Caenorhabditis elegans: one gene and its partners. The protein of the gene in region 3 interacts with the protein of the main gene of each other region in a pairwise test. Each region holds a gene or a part of one and is shown on either strand. Other genes may lie near its edges.

Region 1 (7,817 bases), 4.4 Mb from region 3:
AATATCTCTAAAATTTGAACAGTGAGAAGAAACACAAATAATATTTCAAACCTTCTGGAATTCATCCAAAGAGTCATATCTCGTGCACACGTCGCACATTTTACAGGTTTCTTAGCCGGTGCTTCTTCATCATCGTCGCTCAGTGTGATCTCTTCGAAAGGAGAAGGAACATCTCAAAAAGTAAATTAATTGATTTAATTGGGAAATTTGATTTGAAACTTACTTTTGTCAGATTCATTTCTTACAATACTCTGCACACTTCCAAGTTTTTGAGGACGCCTAGAAAAAAAGACAGATATTTTTTAATTTACGTTTAGGTTAAATAGATACGACAGAAACAAAAACCTTACTACCTTGGCGCGGATGAGATCGAGTTTTGGGACAGTGCCTTTTTTAGTGATGAATCATTCATATGAGTAGAATCTAGAATACTTTTTTTTCTTCTAAAACTGAATTTGCAATTCTTATTCCAATATCAATTGTGATCAACGCATTCTACGTTTTTTCGTGATGATTTAGCAGTGATTCTGATTACGAAATTTATTGAGTAAACAACAAAAATGGTACTTGAATACAGAAAGAGCTCATGAACAGTATGACTGCTTGAATAAATATTTTGATAGATATATAAAAATGTTTGAAAAGTAAAAATCGAGGATGAACGGATTACCGAAATCAAAACAAATTATGTGGGATTAAGACAGATGGATGTTGTATTCTATAAATTAAAATTAGATCATCGTTGATAGACTGGAACAAAGGAAACAGGATTGAATGTGTCTGATAAGGTGTGGGTAATAAAGAGAATAAGATCAGGGTTTTCAGTGATAGCCGACGAATTGAGGAGGATAGTATGGAGCTGCTGGAGGAGCACCAACTCGATACTGTGGAGCCGGGATCGCAGATCGCCTTAACTCGATGGGAGGCTCGTGGAAATGGCGTTTGAACCAAGCCATCATTCGATCTAGCGTATCAAAGTTTTGATGTCGGAATCGGACTCCATGTGGGACAACTGTAAACAAAAATAGTTGAAAACTTTGTTCGTATCTCTTTTCGAAACTCACTTTTGAAATATTCATGTCGAATCCGTTCTGTATTATCGAACATATAAGAAATACAGAATTGGCATGGCTGTCTGTAGGATGCACTGAATACGTACGGAGATCGTCCCAGCTCTCGTTTCTTCTCTCGTACAAATTGCTCGACTGCTTCTGTTTCTTCGCATGTTCCATTTGGGAAGAAGTACTTGTGAGTTGTTATCTCGTGAGAGATCTGTATCATCGGTTGAACGAATCGAGCAATCAACTCATCAAGATCCTCGAAATCTTCTCCGCCGACTGAGAGTTGCCGACCAATGGAGAAAACTTGATCCTTTGCGGATTCTTTGACAAAGAAATTGTGATAGACGCGGTCACAAATCTTCCATGTCACAGAAAGACCAGAATCTTTATTAGCCGATGGACGAATAATACACTCAGACCAATCCATTTCATCCAACATTTTCGTAGCAGCTTCGTAGGATACATTATGGAAATTTGGATGCGCAATTACTCGCTTCACACGTGTATTTGCTTCTGTCTTCTTTTTCGATTCACTCTTCATCAGTTCCAAATCAGCTTGGTATTGATGCTCATCCCAGTACTGATCACGTTGAGATAAATCATCTTCTTTCAGATCCGAACTCTTACAACTTAGGAATAGTGAGAATCTCTCCTTGTCCAACTTGAGAACTTTGAAGTAATATGGCTGATTTATCTTGACTCGGGTTAATGGATTGTCTACGTGACTTGATGAGATGTTCTTGTTCGGACAGAATCCAGTCATTCCATTGTCAAATCTGACTCGAATTCCGACTGGTGTTCCAGGACATCCACCTTGACGAGACTGAAATAATTTAACATTGGTTAACGAATAGTATTAGTTGAGAAAAACTTACGTCACCGAGCATATGTTCTTGAATTCCACCAGGAGCCGAAGATGTGAACGATTTACAACATGGACAAGTGAAAAGACCATCTTCTCCAACATCAGGTAACATGCTGTCTGCTGCATCTTTGTCAACTTTACGGTACTGCACAGATTGAACTGTTCCCAACACTTTAGCTCCTTCCTGCAAAAATAAAAATAAAATCGACAGAATTATTACAAGTAACATACTCTAATTTCTTTTCCTGAACGAGCCAAAAGATCATACAAAAGCTCTCCGGTAGGTTCTTGGAATGGTTGCCGAAGATCTTTATATCTCGCACTCAACTCGCTTGAGATGTCATACAACGTCGACTTTTTCTCTCCGAATCCTTGTCGACTCAATTCATCGGCAAACGCGTCCAAATCGAGATCTCTCAAACGATCAGGAGATTCCATGATTTCTTGAAGAGCCGCAGTTGGATCAGCAGAATCATCAACCTCCAACGCATCCACAGCCATCTTTCTAGCCCATTCATAGGTCTCTGGATGTACTCTCGAACCGTCAAGAACTTCAACATAAGCGTCAGTCTTCTCCGATACCTTGATAGTGTCAATTTTGATGAATCCAGCACAGTTCATAAATACTTTTGGTCCCAGTTTGCATCCAACCACAAGTTTCGATCTACTCTCTATCAAATTATCGTTAGCTTTTATGCTTTTCAGAAGATCAGTGGCTTTTCGTGGACCCAATCCGCATGTGAACTGGAGCATGTTAGTGTAGTGAGGGAATTCTGCACATTTATTGATATCAACACCTTCTTCGTTGACCTTGTTCACCAATTCATGACTGAGAACCAAAGCCAATTGCTCTTGATCGATATCCCGTTGAAGCGGATGCAGAGAGAGACAGAAAATATCTTCATCAATATTCCACAAATGAGCATACTCTGGGATGGGATCCAAAAGAAGACGAGCTAGGGATAAAGCTTGTCGGAGCGTCGGTGGATGATCTGGATTCTCCGCCAACGAAACATTCGATCTCATGTAGACTTTTGCGGCTTCGTTGTCCATCAAAAATACTGGAATTGGTTTGTAGATCAAGTTCTGCGAGAAAAGATCTGCCACAGCTTCCTCGAGGTCTCTCTGAAAATTGCAGTTTTTAAGTATCAAATGTTCAAAACTAGTGCAAACCTTCAATCGAGTACACTCCATATCCTCAATATTCAATCCAATAGCATGAGGTTTTCGTCTCTGTACAAACTTCTTAAACAAATCCATTGACTCGGCCTTCCTTAGTCCATTGTTTCCACCGCCAAACGTTCGTTTCGTGAAATGAACCATTCGAAGATAATCAACAATTGCACCATTTTCATCAACCATTACACCAAATGAAGCTTCGTCTCGCTCTGTTGGATAGCACACTGCCATGATTCGACGAGCTCCATGTTGATCCATACCATCATCATCGTCATCGTTATTATCGAAATCCGGCTGAAATAAAACAAAACAATTACATAGTTATTAAATCAAATTAATACCAGATATCCTGATCTAGAAATTCGAGATGCAAACTCCTTTCTACATTTCTTTGCTACTGCAGTCTTTGCTTCTTCAAGAATCGTATTATACAACTCATCCCTCATGTAGGGTACAAGCATTTCAGTTATAGCCATATTCACACACTCATCTCTCACTGAATTCCATTGTTCAACATTTTCCGTGTATTCGTCTTTTTGGAAAATGGAATCACTTAGATACTTGTTAACGAGGTAGTTATTTGAATCCTGATCTTCTTCAGATTCATACATGATGAGCACATCAACAAGACCATCCTCTTTGGCTTTGTGATAGAAGAGGAACTCTTCAGCGGTGAGACTTCGAACTGGTTTACTCTAAAAATATATATTTATTAAAATCCTAGACATTTATTTCAAATAATTCTCACCTTGATATACCGTTTGTCATAGAGGGGATGAGTTTGATCAATTGTATCACGTCCTTTCTTCGTTGGCTTGATCCAAAAATGTGCAGACTGGCGGAATTCTTGCCGAACACTATGCCTGACTTGTGGTTGTCGACTGATCTCCTTGGCAAGCATGAATTTCGCACCATTCAGAACCATATCACTGTCACTGAACGCAGGACAAACATACTCTTCTGCTGCTTCCAATGGTAACATCGGATCTTGCTCAATGTCGTGTTTTTTCCAGTTCAAATTTTCAGAAAACTGTTTTGCAGTCAATCCAAACCGTCCAGCAAGCTCTCCGATTCCGTTTTCCACACACATTTGATACTTATCATTACGAATGCTTGACTTGAACTTGACTCGATACTCTTGTTCCTCTTCTTCACCGGTTAAACGTCCTTTTTCCCATCTAATCATATCGTCGAGAAGAGCACCGTACAACAATTGGAAATTTGCATGTATGTCGGTAAGCTGTTCAAGAGTTTCTGCGTATTTTGTGCTGAAAAATAATTTAAATTCTAAATTTTAAATTTTAAAACTTACTCCATCAAATCTGCATCCGAAATCGGTCGTCTTTTTGCGGTCAAATCGTCACTGAGTTCCTGATACTCTCTCATCCGACGCATTAAATCGTAAATTTTATTTTTCTTCTCTGACAAATGACACCATTTTTCGTCAAAATCGTATACTCTCCATAGATTATTCATTGTCAGAAGATTGTCAATATCTTCTTTACGATAAAATCCAATAAACGTAGGTTCGAACGAATTAGAACGAACTCGAATGAATTGGAGAACTTTCTTGATGGATTTTATAACAGCTTTCTTTCTATCTTCATAGACAGAAGGATCCAGATTCATTATACAATCAAGTTTATCGTCTTGATCCAGGTCAGCTTGATTTGTCACTGTCCCTTCTTCGAAGGCATATTTAATAATCCATAGAGCTTCAGATTCCAGTTCATCATCATCCGCTTCTGTAACTGGTGTTCTTCTGAGTTGGAACCTCTCTGGTAAATCTTCTTTCGCGATTTTCTTATCCCCAGGTAACAAGAATCCACGATCAATTTCACTTGGTTCGATGGATTCGAGAAGTGTTGACTTCTTTGTAGTATCCTTCTTTCTGCGTATCTGAACCATTCCTATTTCAATAATGCAAAGCTTTTCTCAAAAATTCCAACCTTTATCTCTCCTCCTTCACCATCATCTTCTATTATTTCCTCCTCTTCGTCTTCTAGACCATCCTCGCCATCATCATCGTCGTAAAACTCGTCCAAATTGAAGTCTTCCACTCCGAATACATCACGGGCGTCATCTTCAGCGCCTTCTGGGAGATTTTCGTCTCCACGATGACGTTTCCGATGTCTTCGTGGCGCATCTCCATCGTCCTCAATAAAGTCATCCTCACTTCTTTCAGACTCTGATCCGTAACCACCGCGATCTCCACGACCACGATCTTTTCGCCTGTCTCCATCGTCACTTCCTCGTTCGGAAAGCAAATCATCATCTTCGTGGTTGGGTCTCTGAAATTCCGAATTTGATTATTATTATTATTATGAATTTTAGTGGCAATTGAAAAAAATCGAAATTACTCACTCGTATCGGCTCATCTTCATCACTGGAATCACCCAATTGAACTCGATTTTGTTTTTTCGTCTCTCGAATATCATAATTCTCATTGATCAAATCAAGATCTTCATCGTCGAGCTCATCTTCTCCCGAGTGCCGAGATTTTTCTGACTTCTCCGATTTTGCGTCCTCTTCTTCATCGTCATCATCTGCAATGAATCCCTGCATTTCTTTACGGTTTTCCTCTTCATCGTCATCGTCGTCTTCATCTTCGTCAGAACTAAAAATGAACAAATGAAAATAGAAATACCCCGGAATTATAATTACCTGGCAACCATTTTCTTCTTTCTTTTTGATTTTTCCTTTGCCATTTTCATCTTTTTCGACTGTGGTTCTTCATCATCAGAATGGCCCGAGGAGGCATCTGATTCTTCGGCTTGATTATCGATAAAATCCATTACCTGCAACAAATTCAGTTAATTTCACTTGGGAAGAACGAAATTTCATAATACAAAAATTTCGAAAAGCACAAAGAGCAAAATTAAGAAAATTGCAAACAGCTCACAGTGCGGAAAAGGTTTAAAAGTGAAAGAAAACTGAAAAATCTTATTTTGTGCAAAAAAAATTAGCCAGATAGGTGAAAAATGACGGATTTTACGCGGTTTTTAGGCCAAACGAGCGAAAATTAATCAATAAAGAAAACGGAGAAAGAAGGAAACCGGCCATTCGGGTCGAGGACAAAAATAAAAATGAGACGATTTTCTGAATTTGAACGCGAAGCGATTTATGCAACTGCGCCCCATTGTGATGCTAGGCGAGAGAGTGTGGGATTGCAAGAGGCGGGTAGAGATAGAAAAACGCGGTCGTTTAAAAAATATCGCTTTCCCGAGTTTCGCGTATTTTAGGAATTATATGTTTCATTTTAAAGCGATATTGCGAAAAGTGATTTCGATTCATCTTTATTGCGTGATAGGTAAACAAATTGGTTCATTTAGCAAGCATCCAAGACGACGAAATACGATAACCGGGGTATTCAGAATTGTTGCGAAAAATGTAATAGCTATATAGCTATGTGAAATTATTTAGGCATAAAAGATTAATTTTCATTCAACTACCATGTTCAATTTTGAAGGTTTATTCTTCACAGACTCATTCTTTCATCAACAAAAATCTTACCACGAAGAAAAACTTTATCAAATACCGTACCAGCGAGTATGATAGAAGCTTTTTAAAAGTTTTTTTTCCTTATTTCCCGATTTCAAATATATACGTAGATTTTTTCGAGGAAAAATCAATTCATAAGTTCTGTAATTTCAGGAGAAATTTGGCGAGAAAGATTGAGGTACTACAGTACTCCCGAGTACGGTAGTTGAAAAAGTTTCGCTTGAATCAGTGTTTCAATTCTAGATATACGCCCTACCAGATGCCTAGGGGGTAAGTGCCTACAGTGAAGGTTCACTTAAACTGCATTACTTTGATAACCTGAACCTGCTGATCATCATATCCGAAAAACCCCCAAGATATTCACTTGCTGACCATTTTTCATTAGTTGAAGTCCTAATTTCCATCGCTAATTATTCATTCATTTGCTGTTTCCGACATACTTATCAAATCCCATGGGATCCCCCGAATCCATGAGCACAATAATCGAAAGATTGAGGCTCAATGTCTATTCTCCATCCTCTCTCTCTCTCTTCCACACTCTTGGACCCGCCCCACCCTGGGGCCAGTCGAGCGCGCAGCTTTTCGTTTCAAACTCTGCGCCTCTCTCATTCCAAAGCTCTCTGCGCACTTTCTTTTACTCTCTTTTTCTCTGAAAAGGCTTTCAAAAGTAAGTGAGAGATTGGAAGAGAGTGAACGAGAGAAAAAGAGTAAGCAGTTGGGGGGAGTAGGAGGCGAAGGAGGGGGAACAACTACTACTCGCTCTCCTCTACTTGCCTCATCTTCTTCCTTTTCATTTTTCAACGTCTTCTATTCTGAAGATTCTTCTTGTCTTCTGGATTCATGGACGACGATGTCGGTGAACGAACACCGGCTCTCGGTGGTTCATGTGGACCATCAGTTCGTGCACACAGTAGTTCCCCAAGACGTGTTCCATTATTTGAGAGAGCATCTGCTAGATGGTGGAATCCTCAATTTCGATCTGCAACACTAGAAGCTCAATATTGGAAGTGTAGTTTCAGTCAGTTAAGAGATCGATTTCGTTCTGGATTAATATATATTGCCGTTGTAATTGCCGCTTGGACACTTTATTTAGCTTTATTCGATAGAACTTTTATTCAGCATTGGGTGAGTTTTTATTTGTTTTTTTTTTGGAAAAAAATCTAGAATTCATTGCTAAAAAAATATCAAAACAAAAAATTCTCGGCCCGGCT
Region 2 (3,005 bases), on a different chromosome or scaffold from region 3:
TTCTTGGATTACAGTTGCCATCGAACGATTACAATTGTTTTGAGTTTTTTCGAAGAAACACCTTTGGTTCCAACATGATTGTCCTATGCATTTAAACCAGGGCTGTGCGGCAACCGGCAACCGAGTTGCCGGTTGCCGAAATTTTTTAGCTTCGGCAATTGCCGGTTGCCGAAAATTTTGGAGTTCAGCAACTTCGGCAACTGCCGATATCAATGTGAAACATTCTGCAGCTCATAAAAAGCATTCGGAGAGCCTGATAAATGCTAATATTTCGCCGTAAACGAGAAAACGACCATTATTTTTTAACCAAAACGCTCAAAAATATAATTTTAACAAAAAAAACTTTAAAACTTGGTTGCCGGTTGCCGAAAAGTTGCCAAAATTTCGGCAATCGAACGTTGCCGGTTGCCGAAAATTTCTGGGTTCGTCAACTTCGGCAATTGCCGGTTGCCGAAAATCCCGGTTGCCGCACAGCCCTGATTTAAACGTGTACTCATTTTAAAATTCATATTCATACAAGAATTAAAAGTAAAAAAAATCATTTTATTTTCATTAAGCTCAATATTAGGATTCACAATCGAGGAAGCGTGGCCAACTCATTCGGCACCCGACTGTTGTTATAAAACTGGCGTGCCAAATGAGAATCCTTCGTGGCATACGTAGTTGCTTCGATCTTTGGAAAGTAGTTGAACGATTTCTTCTCACAGTGTTTTCCTTCAAAATGTCCCAAACGACATTCACAAATTAGAGAGCCGTTCTGAGCCCATGTATTTTCGAGGCTTGAGACACACTTTCCCCCGTTTTGACACTTGCAGGAATCTGCAGGAACAGGAAGTTCGCAATTAGGTCCGTGGAATCCTTCTAGGCAGCCGAGAGTTCCGTTTTGTGTGCACCGCCTGTTAATTGTACGGGCAAAGTCGTCATTGCAAAAGTGGTCGCAGTGAAGGCCATGCCAATATCTGGAAATTGTGATTTTTCAAGAATCAGCATTTCAATTTCAATTTCAAAACTCACCTATTACACTTGATATCATAGCGGAATCCCGTAAATGGCAAGAATATATTGTCCGAAGCCACACTCCTCACATGGGTATTCCACCGTATCGAACGCAATGTAACACGATGGATTTGAAATTTTTCGACAGGACTGCAATCCACCAACACTAATCCCGGTCTTCCGAACTTTACAGGAATATTGGACACAAATCCCACTCTATTGGGCTTAAGTTGGAGATTGAATGAACGTTTATTGGTGGGAAAATACACTTCCTCGGCCACTTCGACAGTTACATTCAGGGGAAATGCACTTTTAAGGCGAATCGTCATATAACCATTAGAGTGGACGACAGAGATCAATATAGCAAGGAATATAAGATATTTGAGCATAACGCCTAGTATTCGAAAGACGACGGAGCACAATGAGCCACCGGAGTAGGTATTTATAGAGAGAACGCTCAGTCGTCCTGGAAGAGGTTGTTGGCGTTTGAAGATCGATAAGGTTAGACATGTCAATCGAGAATAGTGGCTACTAAAAACCAATATATCTCTTGGTACTTTGCCATTGTCTCATATTTAATTGCAGTACAGTGCACTTCTCGTTTGCCGAATTTGCCGTTTGGCGAGCTCGGTAGTTTTCGAAATTTACCGCACACATCAAAAATTTGACAATACAATTTTGGCCAAAACTAATGGTTGCTTTCGTCCCCAAAAATTTAGTTAAATGATACAAAATTTAGTTATTTTGATGTTTAAGCATACACACCACACGGAACTTATTCAGAAGCCTGATGTGCGTTAAGTATTCAGTAGTTTTGGTGCTCCAGAAAACATTTAAAAAAAGGTATTTTACAAGCGAAAGAGCTTCCAAATTTCAGGCTCATATAGCAAAGTTTTAGGACACTCCGAGTTAATTCATTCATTACAACAACTAATGGTACGAATATAGAATTAATTCCTCAATTAGATTTCAATCTCAATTCCTCACTATCTACGAAAATCTCCAGCAAATTCGGAACTATTCTTCATTTTATGAGTCATGGTTTTTCGTTGCAAAACTAAAACTGGAACGTTCATTCTGTTTGTTCGACGAATTTTGACTCAGTTTATGTGATTTTTTTGTTAAGACTATCTAAAAGCCTTACCGAAGTTGGTTTTTTTTTCGAATTCTGCAATTCTGCTACACTTTAAATAGGCGATTTGTCTATTTTGTCAGATAATAACTGTAACATGGCCTATTAGGTTCATAGGCCGGTGACCGAGTTTCCTCATTCCACGGCCACAAAGCAAAAGCCGGCATGTCATCGCCTTCAGCCATATAAATCAAACCTAAACTGTTTACAAACTTCCGATTCCACTTTTCTCTCTGCCATCTCTTCTCCCTAATAAAGAAATGGAGAAAAAACGAACGTGTTCGTTTATTTAGTGTAATGCAATGTTTGCCAGCTTCTGCTGCATTGTGAGGCGAATTCCTCGTATTTATCAGCATTTCCACCTCAAAAGTGGGAGATTTAGCAGTAAAAAGCGATTTTCTGAGGTTTTCGGAACAACTCGAAAAAAAGTCCGGCAATTTTTCTGTGGCTGGAAAATTGGATTTTTTCAAACATTCCGGCAAAGGGAGCAGTCGAGAAGTAATAGGGTTTTCTGTATTTTTTTTTTCGGAGACAGTCGAAATAATATGAAATGGAAATTCAGAAATTTTAGTTTTTTTTTTTTCAATTTTTGCGACAATCAGCTTTCAATCGTACTTTAAATTCATTTTTTCTATCCTCTCAGTGTCTGCGACCTCTCCATTCTCTCTCACATCATCTCCAGTTTCCCCGCAATGAAGAGACACGCTTCTTATCAAAACATGATGATGATGTTGATAACAACGTGTTCTTCCACCGTCATTTTTCTCTTTTGGTCAAAACCCCTTAACGATTTTGGTTTTGAACTTTGCGGTTTTAGGTCTAAAGCTTCTGACGTTTTATTTGGAAATTTTTATCTGATCTCGCTGTTAAAAATGAT
Region 3 (4,836 bases):
ACACGAGGCGCCATCGGGTCGTCGCCCAATTCACCGCCCTCTTCACACATACCGAACATCAGACATAAATCGCGCCAAAAAGAAGCGCATCGACAATAGAGAAGCGCGCATGAAACAGAGAGGCTAGGAGGGGCAGATGACCTAGGAGCTATCTATCAGGCACCTTACGCGGTCACTTTTAACGCCGCCAACAAGACAAATGAGCTGAAGAGAAATGGAAAAAGATTGGCCGCGCTTCAATTTGTCCTCGATACAAACGAGTCATGATGAAATATTGAGGTGTTTGGTTGCCGTAACTTTGTTAAATATCTACTAACTACAGATTGATGAAGTTTGGAGCAATACTCATAAATGGTTTAACGGAAAACGATTAGTAAAATTTTTGAAAGTTGGGAATGGTAAGCGCATAAAGTTTAAAGCATAGTTTTCGTAAGCTTTCGAAATATGAGGAAATGCCTGCCTGGCTACCTACAAGGCAGCCTACGTCTGTTTCGCATAAATTACACATGTAGCCACAAACTTCCAATCTTCTAATGTCTTCAATTTTTGTTGAATTTTCAACATCAATCTACAGCAAACTACAGAGTTCAAGCTAACATTTAAAAAATTAGACGGTAGGCCGGCAAGTCAGCGTGAAGCAGACATTTAGACCTGTATACGCGTTGCCTATAGGCCTATTGCTATTATACCTGTGATAGCTTTAACAATGAGTAAGTAAATTCTTATTTTTTAATCTTCGAATATTTCGTTTAGTCTTAAAAATGATACAATTCCTAGTTTCTTAACTTCCATTGAATTTTCAAATCCACCTATTCACTTTCAAATTATTATTCACCCCCAACTTTGTCAGTTGTTTGCCACAATTCCACCAGGCATGTGCTTATGATGGATGGTGTGGTCAAAAAGATGACCGACAAAAGGGCGCGCGCAGCTGACCCTAGTTTTGGAATTTTGGGCCAAAAAAACATTTCATTCGCAACACCGCCACCATGGAGGGCTAAAAAAAATGAGTGATGGGTGTTTAGGTCCCTATGGGAATTGGGCAAAAAAGTGACCACTACTGGCTCATTGGTTTTGCAGGAAAATGAGATGCAATGGGAAGTGTTGTGTATAAGTTATTCAGCTCGAAATTACATTATCTTACCTTTACAGACACAGGTCTCCATCCGATAATCTTTGTCAAAAACACATTTCTCATCGGCTCCACATTTTGAAACATCACACTGTTGTTCACAATATTCACCACCAAATCCTTCATCGCATCTGAAACATTGGGAAGGGTTAGGGTTAAAGATTAAAGACGTCGTGCAGCCGAAAGGCACCGTAATCCTATTGTTTTATGGTTTTATGACAACTGATGGTAGGCTCACTCGACAGTATGTTTTGCCGACAAAACTGGGAACACGGCTGTAAAATTGTGAGGTGGCAACTGAGTCCTCATTTGTGATAAGATAAGCAATTTTGAAGACTATTCTTTTTCTCATTCAAAGTCTCAAAATGCCGAGTAAAAGTGGCATTCGTTGCAGTTTTCCGAAGTTGCCAATTGAAAGTAAAGCAATTTTCAGAAAGTGCAAACATTTTTCTATACTTCTATTTAAATTTTCGGGAAAAACTTTGACAGATAATACATCTGATAGGGAGTTCAAAACCAGCTACAGTAATCTTACAGTAACCCCCCATTGGTCATTTCTTTTGGGAACTTGGTCATAAATCCTACCCCATTCTTTTTTGTTTGATAAGAAAAATGTGGAAGACCAGTATTTTTTTGTCATTAAGAAGAATTCTCCCCTCAATTTCCCGTATTTTTCGGTTTTCCCATGGCAATAAACTACCGATTTGGGTGATTTTTTGGCGGCGGTGCGAGACCAGGAGGGGGAAAAGCTGCTTCTCTTTCGCATTTTAATGAGAATCTCAGCGGGTTAATTGCCTGGTTTTTCTTCGACTTTGAGACGAGAATTGGCAGGAAAAAAATGGCTGAGAATTGCTTTTCTGAAGTTGATTTATCCAAAACCCGACTTTTTCCAACTTTCCCATAACACCCTGAAAGTATTGTTTTTACAATATTTTCCCTCACTTTTTCCCAAAAAAATTGAAAGTTTTTTCTACAGCGAGGGACGACGCAGGTGTCTCCTCTGTGGGGTTTTTTCTCTCATTACTCGCTCATTTCTCTTGTTGCGCAAGTTTCGTAAATGGTGGGAACCCGTGCGAACAATGTCCTCCTATTAATTAACATCAACTATAAATTAATGGTGTGTTGTTCAAGTGACACGTGTCTCTACTTGAACCATATCACCTATCTTATCAGGAGCTAGCTGCTCAACGGAGAGCACATGCCGCTATAAATCAAGACGGATTACGTAATTATTGTTTGAAAAGGGCATGGATTATGGAAGAATAGTCTACTGGTACAAACAATGTTTTGTTATAATTTACAGTACTTCTTTTACTAGTATTGCACCTAGCTACTTAACTTTGTAAAGTTATAACTCGGTTAATTTCAAAGATATAAAAAGAATTGCCGTATTTCCTCTAATAGTCTTGAATAAAAGAATAATAGAGGAAATACGGTAACTACAAAACGGTAGCAAGAGAAATAACAAAAATTTGGTCAGTTGACAATTTTGTAAAGGAAATCCCATAATTCCTAGGAATATTCCTTACCCCCAATTTATTGCGTATTTTTAAGATTAGTTTTCAAAATGTGTAGATTTGTATTATTTATTTTACGTTGAATTAAAATTTGAAAAAATGTTTAAGTATTGTTAAGCAAAATCTTCACATACCTGCACCAATAAGAAGTTTGAGTTCCATTGACAGGTCCAGCATGGCAGTGACCATTTCTTCCACATATTAAGCCAAGACATGAGCCAATATGAAGCGATTTTGATAACGAGATAAGAAGAAATAAAAAACAAATCGTAGGGATCCGCATTTTTTGAAATTGAGCAAAGTCTGTTGAGCAATAGGGCGGACAGAGACAGGAAATTAGCTTTTAGATATGGATCATGTAGGTTCTGAAAATGGTTTTGAATTATTTAATTTAGTGAATTCGTTGTTTGAAAGTTGACGACAGTAAAACGGTATAGAAATGCAAAGGATCGGACCGTACTAATATTGCACCCCTGTTATTTAGTGTTGACAGCTTATATCTCAGTTGTCATTTGTTCTAAATAATAATTGTCAGCTGACAAAATATTTTTTCCATTGTGCAGAAAATCAGTTTTTGATATCATCAAAATGAGCGGAGATATTACCTTTCAAAGTAAAGTAGTGAGTTGCAATACTAAAAGAGGAATACAGTCATCGTCAACTAACAAACAAGGGCAAAATAGAAGGAAACAGGATCAATTCTTAAAACTATAATACTTGGCTCGAAACATTTTAAATATTTCGTGAGAGCTGTAGGAATATATTATTACCAATAAACGAAACCTAATAAAACCCAAACCTGGTAGCTTTTGCATTATCATTAATTAAGGATAAATAAATGCCAATCAAAAAATGGGTGGCTATTGTTATGTCTTCACCCAGTAAAAAGGACGAGAGAGGGCGAAGGGGTGGGGGTAGGATGAACACAAAAGAGAGAGAGACAGATGGCTCCGCCCAACTTGTTGCGGTCGCGGTGCGGCCACCAAGTAGACTTTTTTTTCATCGAGAAAGAAAAGGAGGAGAAGATGATTTTAAAATGAAACGACGATGTCAGATGGTTGGATGAAGTAGAAGTAGGAGGAGGTGGAAGAGAAGAGAGTGGGAACGGAAGGAAGAATGATCAAGATGAGGAAAACGAACTGCTGGGAACGTATGGTGATTTGCGGCTTTTGGGTCTTTGTGTGTCAGTTTTAGAGTTTTATTTCTGTTTATTTCTGTTTATTTCTGTTTATTCGGATACTTTATAGTTTTTAGTTTTATACATCAATACTTGCAAAAAATTTCTAAGCTTTGTTCAAAAAGTAATATCTTGGTTTTATCCATTTAGGAACAACTGTAAGATTGTATAAATGATTTTTAGCCATTTTATAGGCGGAAGAGATTTTTCATAGCTTTTCCTGTTCAAAAGCTGAAAGAGCTTGAAAATACTAAACACATCGAGTAAGAATTAGAAAAAAAAACAAATCAAAATATTGAACACGCTTTTTCCAAGGTGTTTTCTAATCTCTCTATTTGAATTACCTCCAAAACGAGAACTGCATGGCCAATCAGCAATTCGCTCTGCCCATTCTTCAACCAATCAGATTAAGTATGGAAATTCCGAAGTCGCTAATTGGTTCAAAAGTGGGCGTTTGTTTTTGGCGGGAATTCAAACAGATTTGATCATTTTTTGATTATTTTTTTAACTGTTTCACACAATTAAATATAACCTTATTCTCGACAATTAATTGCTATCTGAACCAAATTTGTTGCAAAAATTCACGCATAGTTGTTGCTACCAATTAACTACTATTTTCCCAAAACACGGAAATGATGGATGAGCCAACAGGAGCACAGGTGTCTGTTACTGTGGTGTCATATACATGTGACGTGACAATCAACCGGCAACTTTGAACTGTCGTCGACGGATTAGTCTCAAGACCTCTTGACTTGATTTATTGGCATGGGAACCCGCCAAGGAAAGGTTTCAAAAATAACAATATTGTTAATAAATGAGTGTAACATTTAAGAAAACATTTAAAAATGGCATTAACAATAGCTCTATAAAAACCTGGTTTTTTAGAAGGCCGTTATTAATTATCAGCTTTGGTGGTATTTTGTTTTAAAATAGTCAAATCTTAAAATTACCACAAAAAAGATAATAGGAAATCTTATGAAAATGAAAAAAATGTTGCTGAAGAAAATTCA
Region 4 (3,317 bases), on a different chromosome or scaffold from region 3:
AAGAAAATGATAGCTTGTTATTGTAGTATTCTAGTAATCACAACACAATAAAGACCAACTTTCAAAAGTTAGAACCCATACCACACCGCCACACCTTGTTTCCCTGCAAAAAGTCATTGTTTGTGCTGTGAAGTTGTTGACATATTCGAAAGGAGAACATGTTGTTTGAGGAGAAAAAGAAGAAGATACGACAATGATAATACTTCTCTCTGACACTGTCTTCAAAGAGCGAGCCATTTATCAAAAGAAACTTCATCACCGAATCTCGTTCTATCGTAATCATACATCAGAAGCCCACGGTGTAGACGGCGATGGTGGTGACAGGAGAAGAAGGAAGAGGAAGAACGGAGAAGAAGACGCGACGTCGAAAGACGATTTTTGTTAAGCGTTTGATCGTACGACACTCTCAGATAGTCTATTTTCGGAGAAGACAAAGATGTATTGCTTTCTTCTTTTTTCCTTCTTTAGAAGATTGTTACTGTATCTGTTTTAAACCATGTTTAACTATTTTTGCATTGTCAATGAAAAGAACAAGAAGATATGAAAGAGAAGAGTCGTCTTTATTAAACGTTATCAACTGAATTCCTTAATCAGAAAATCAAGCACTGGGCCAAACGTTTTTCAGGGGAGGGTACACAGTACTGAGACAAATCATTTACGGATCAGGTAAATTCAGGATTGAAGCACAAAAGAGCACATAAGCGGAGGTATGGACGAAATTAATCAGTTATCCAGCGATACTTTCCATCCAATTCGCTGCGATAACTGATTAACCAGTTATCTAGCTATTTTAGCTATTTTTTAATAAGCTTTCGAAAAATGTACACGATTCAAGATATCGAGATCTTAAATAGCTTAGCGAATCGGTAGGAGGGGCCAAAAAGAGAAAAAAAAATAAAAAATTAAATAATTGCACTAGGGTGCGAGCTCATAGAAAACAATTAGAGGGAAATTTGGGGGAGGAGTGAGAAAAGAAAAAAAACAAATGTTAAAAGTAGGTAGGTCCCACCTAGGCAAAAACGATTGCATGTCTTAAAGGCCCCCTATAGAGGAACGGCTTTGCTATTTACAATATTAACAACAACGCTTAATACTGCACTGGAGTGAACATGGTGCACTTGGAGTACCAACGTTGGCAAGTCTCGGCCATGGCAGCGGAAGATGGTGGGTTGCACATTTGATGGACCTTTGGATGAGTGTGGGCGCACTTGCACTCGTCGGTGCAGTGAGCGGCGGTGCATTCTGGAGTGCAGGTGGCTACGATGGCGGCGGTGAGACGGGTGGTCTGTGGAGCGGTTCTTGAGGAGTGGATGTGGGCTGGCTTGCGCTCATCGGCGATTGGCAAATCGAGGCTGGCAAAGTCGGATCCTCTTGGAAGGACTGGTGGCATAACGAGTGGTGAGCCGAGGTCTGGAAGCTCGACGAGTCCGGCCTTTCCAACGGCACAGTGCTTTTCGTAGGCTGGGCAGAACTTGGCAACCTTTCCAAAGAGAGCACGGTCAATTGGTCCAGCGTTGTCTCCACAGTATTTGTTGTAGTGGTCAAGATGCTTGATGCAATAACGTTCGGACATCTCCTCATTGCGACGAACACGGGCAGGGTTGGCTGAAAATACAAAGAATGATGTAATTGTCTAATATCTTTGAAAGTTATCGAATGTTCTCTATAGTTTTGTAAATGTGCTCACCTTGTGCCAAGACCATAACGATAGCGAGAGCGGCGACGGTAATAAAGTTCATTTTTGGAAACGGTGTTTTTTTGAGATTCAATTGCTTGATCTCGCAAGTCGAAACTGCGTACTGCCTATCTGAAATCGGCGCCTTTTATGCGTTCGCGTGAACTCCGCCCCACAATACCGCCCTTCCTTGTCTGTGAGAGTCGTCGGAAGCGGCGCGGGGCGCGCGTCCCGCCCCCTAGGAACTTTGAAGATTGCCTCGCGGTGGGGAGAAGGACGCCGAATAAACTGATTGTTCTAAAAATATCATCAGGGCCGAAGGAGGGAAAGAAGGATTGAAGTATCGGCGACTAACGGAATTGAGAAATAGCAGCACCGGTGTAGAGGGTTTCGTGGTTTTCGGCGGATGATGGATGGGATCTCTAATGATCGCCCTGTGGTTAGAGTGATGGAGAAGCCAGTGTCGCACACAGTTTTCTGAAGATGAGAAGATAGTGGTCGAAAAATGATAATGATGATGATGATGATGTGAGGAAAGATGTATAAGACATCCGATGGGGGTACGTCGAGGTCGTCGATGTGTTTCGATCTTCAGCTACTACGCCGTTATCATGTACCCTGCACAGCGTCGGACACAAACATCTCCGTGGTGCGCGTAAACTCGACGACGACTCGTGATGGACGTCTAAAAAGGGATATGGGAGACAGAAATAATGCACCCGTTCTTTACGTGTTATCACTGCTTTAGAAATAAACTATTTTTAGTGTTTCCCTCGTTGTACGCAATCTTTATTCTTCACTTCACCATTTCATTACTTCATCATGCGGAACACAGACTACTGCTACACAAAAAAGTTATAGTCGTCACGTTTCTTAAACCTTTTTTTTTACTTTTTGATGGTTTTTGTTTTAGCGACTGACCAAAACAATCTTGCGGTCAAGGCTTTTTCAGTGTAAGTACGTTATGATAAGCTAGGAACAATGAAGTTTGGGAATTGAATGAGTTAATCATTCGACGAAGAATTATTTCGTAGTTGAACTATGTGTGGCTTCTAGCATAACGTCATTTCAAAAGAGTTATAGATGACGATTACTGTCAGATGTTCTTTACTCAAAGCTTTATTTTGTAACACCGTGTTTACCAAACCACTACTTTCAATTAAGCAAACATCCGTGCAACTGTCTTTCTTTTTCATTTCCATATCCTATTCAATAATACCGTAACAACTTCCTTGGCAAGAAACAGTTCTTTGATTCAGGTTTTTACTGTCCGGAATTAGCTGCCCAACTTGAGACATGAGACCAGAGACAAATGTTTTCTCCAAGTTAGAATTCGAAACACAGAAAAACTGTATTTTTCCCCTGTTACCCTAAAAAACATGCCCTTTGCTCCTTCCCTGTCATTCATTCATCAAGGCACTTCTAGAAACAACGTCTTGTTTCTCTTTTCGTGTGATGGATTGTGTACGACCTCCAACACCTTCCGTATCTCCTGACTTTTAATGGTTGAGGTTGCGTCTAAATTTGGAACAACTTTGAACATTTTGAGTGACATCTTTTGAATTTGATTCTAGATAAGCTTTTGATTTTTTTTTCATTTCTATCTTGACACTCTTGTTCTCCTTTCTGTCATCACGGTGTA

Evidence for each region.
Region 1: the proteins of lin-12 (region 3) and emb-5 interact in a two-hybrid assay, tested with the Caenorhabditis elegans proteins (one study listed by BioGRID).
Region 2: the proteins of lin-12 (region 3) and dsl-1 interact in a two-hybrid assay, tested with the Caenorhabditis elegans proteins (one study listed by BioGRID).
Region 4: the proteins of lin-12 (region 3) and osm-11 interact in a two-hybrid assay, tested with the Caenorhabditis elegans proteins (one study listed by BioGRID).

Annotation. Positions count from the first base shown.
Region 1 is NC_003281.10:4,714,766-4,722,582, forward strand, and holds emb-5 (Suppressor of Ty 6 homolog), read right to left. Parts: upstream 5,906-7,817; 5' UTR 5,901-5,905; coding exon 5,770-5,900; intron 5,723-5,769; coding exon 5,470-5,722; intron 5,397-5,469; coding exon 5,055-5,396; intron 5,005-5,054; coding exon 4,418-5,004; intron 4,374-4,417; coding exon 3,854-4,373; intron 3,801-3,853; coding exon 3,447-3,800; intron 3,400-3,446; coding exon 3,100-3,399; intron 3,052-3,099; coding exon 2,158-3,051; intron 2,111-2,157; coding exon 1,937-2,110; intron 1,885-1,936; coding exon 1,065-1,884; intron 1,013-1,064; coding exon 822-1,012; 3' UTR 528-821; downstream 1-527. Other genes in the region: him-18 (SAP domain-containing protein), read right to left, coding at 1-7, 52-172, 224-279, 354-412; acy-1 (adenylate cyclase), read left to right, coding at 7,447-7,731. UniProt on the Caenorhabditis elegans protein: Histone H3-H4 chaperone that plays a role in maintenance of chromatin structure during RNA polymerase II transcription elongation.
Region 2 is NC_003282.8:1,206,684-1,209,688, forward strand, and holds dsl-1 (Delta-like protein dsl-1), read right to left. Parts: upstream 1,398-3,005; 5' UTR 1,386-1,397; coding exon 1,015-1,385; intron 960-1,014; coding exon 572-959; 3' UTR 535-571; downstream 1-534. UniProt on the Caenorhabditis elegans protein: Probable secreted Notch ligand involved in the mediation of Notch signaling. Involved in the lin-12/Notch pathway-mediated signaling of cell fate in vulval precursor cells (VPCs), acting redundantly with lag-2, apx-1 and osm-11.
Region 3 is NC_003281.10:9,068,457-9,073,292, forward strand, and holds the start of lin-12 (lin-12/Notch intracellular domain), read right to left. Parts: upstream 3,017-4,836; 5' UTR 2,933-3,016; coding exon 2,784-2,932; intron 1,264-2,783; coding exon 1,145-1,263; intron 1-1,144. UniProt on the Caenorhabditis elegans protein: Essential signaling protein which has a major role in many developmental processes; involved in cell fate decisions that require cell-cell interactions. Probable membrane-bound receptor for putative ligands lag-2, apx-1, dsl-1 and osm-11.
Region 4 is NC_003284.9:17,419,669-17,422,985, forward strand, and holds osm-11 (Notch ligand osm-11), read right to left. Parts: upstream 1,801-3,317; 5' UTR 1,740-1,800; coding exon 1,688-1,739; intron 1,606-1,687; coding exon 1,088-1,605; 3' UTR 543-1,087; downstream 1-542. UniProt on the Caenorhabditis elegans protein: Probable secreted lin-12/Notch ligand or co-ligand involved in the mediation of Notch signaling. Involved in the lin-12/Notch pathway signaling of cell fate in vulval precursor cells (VPCs), acting redundantly with dsl-1 and lag-2.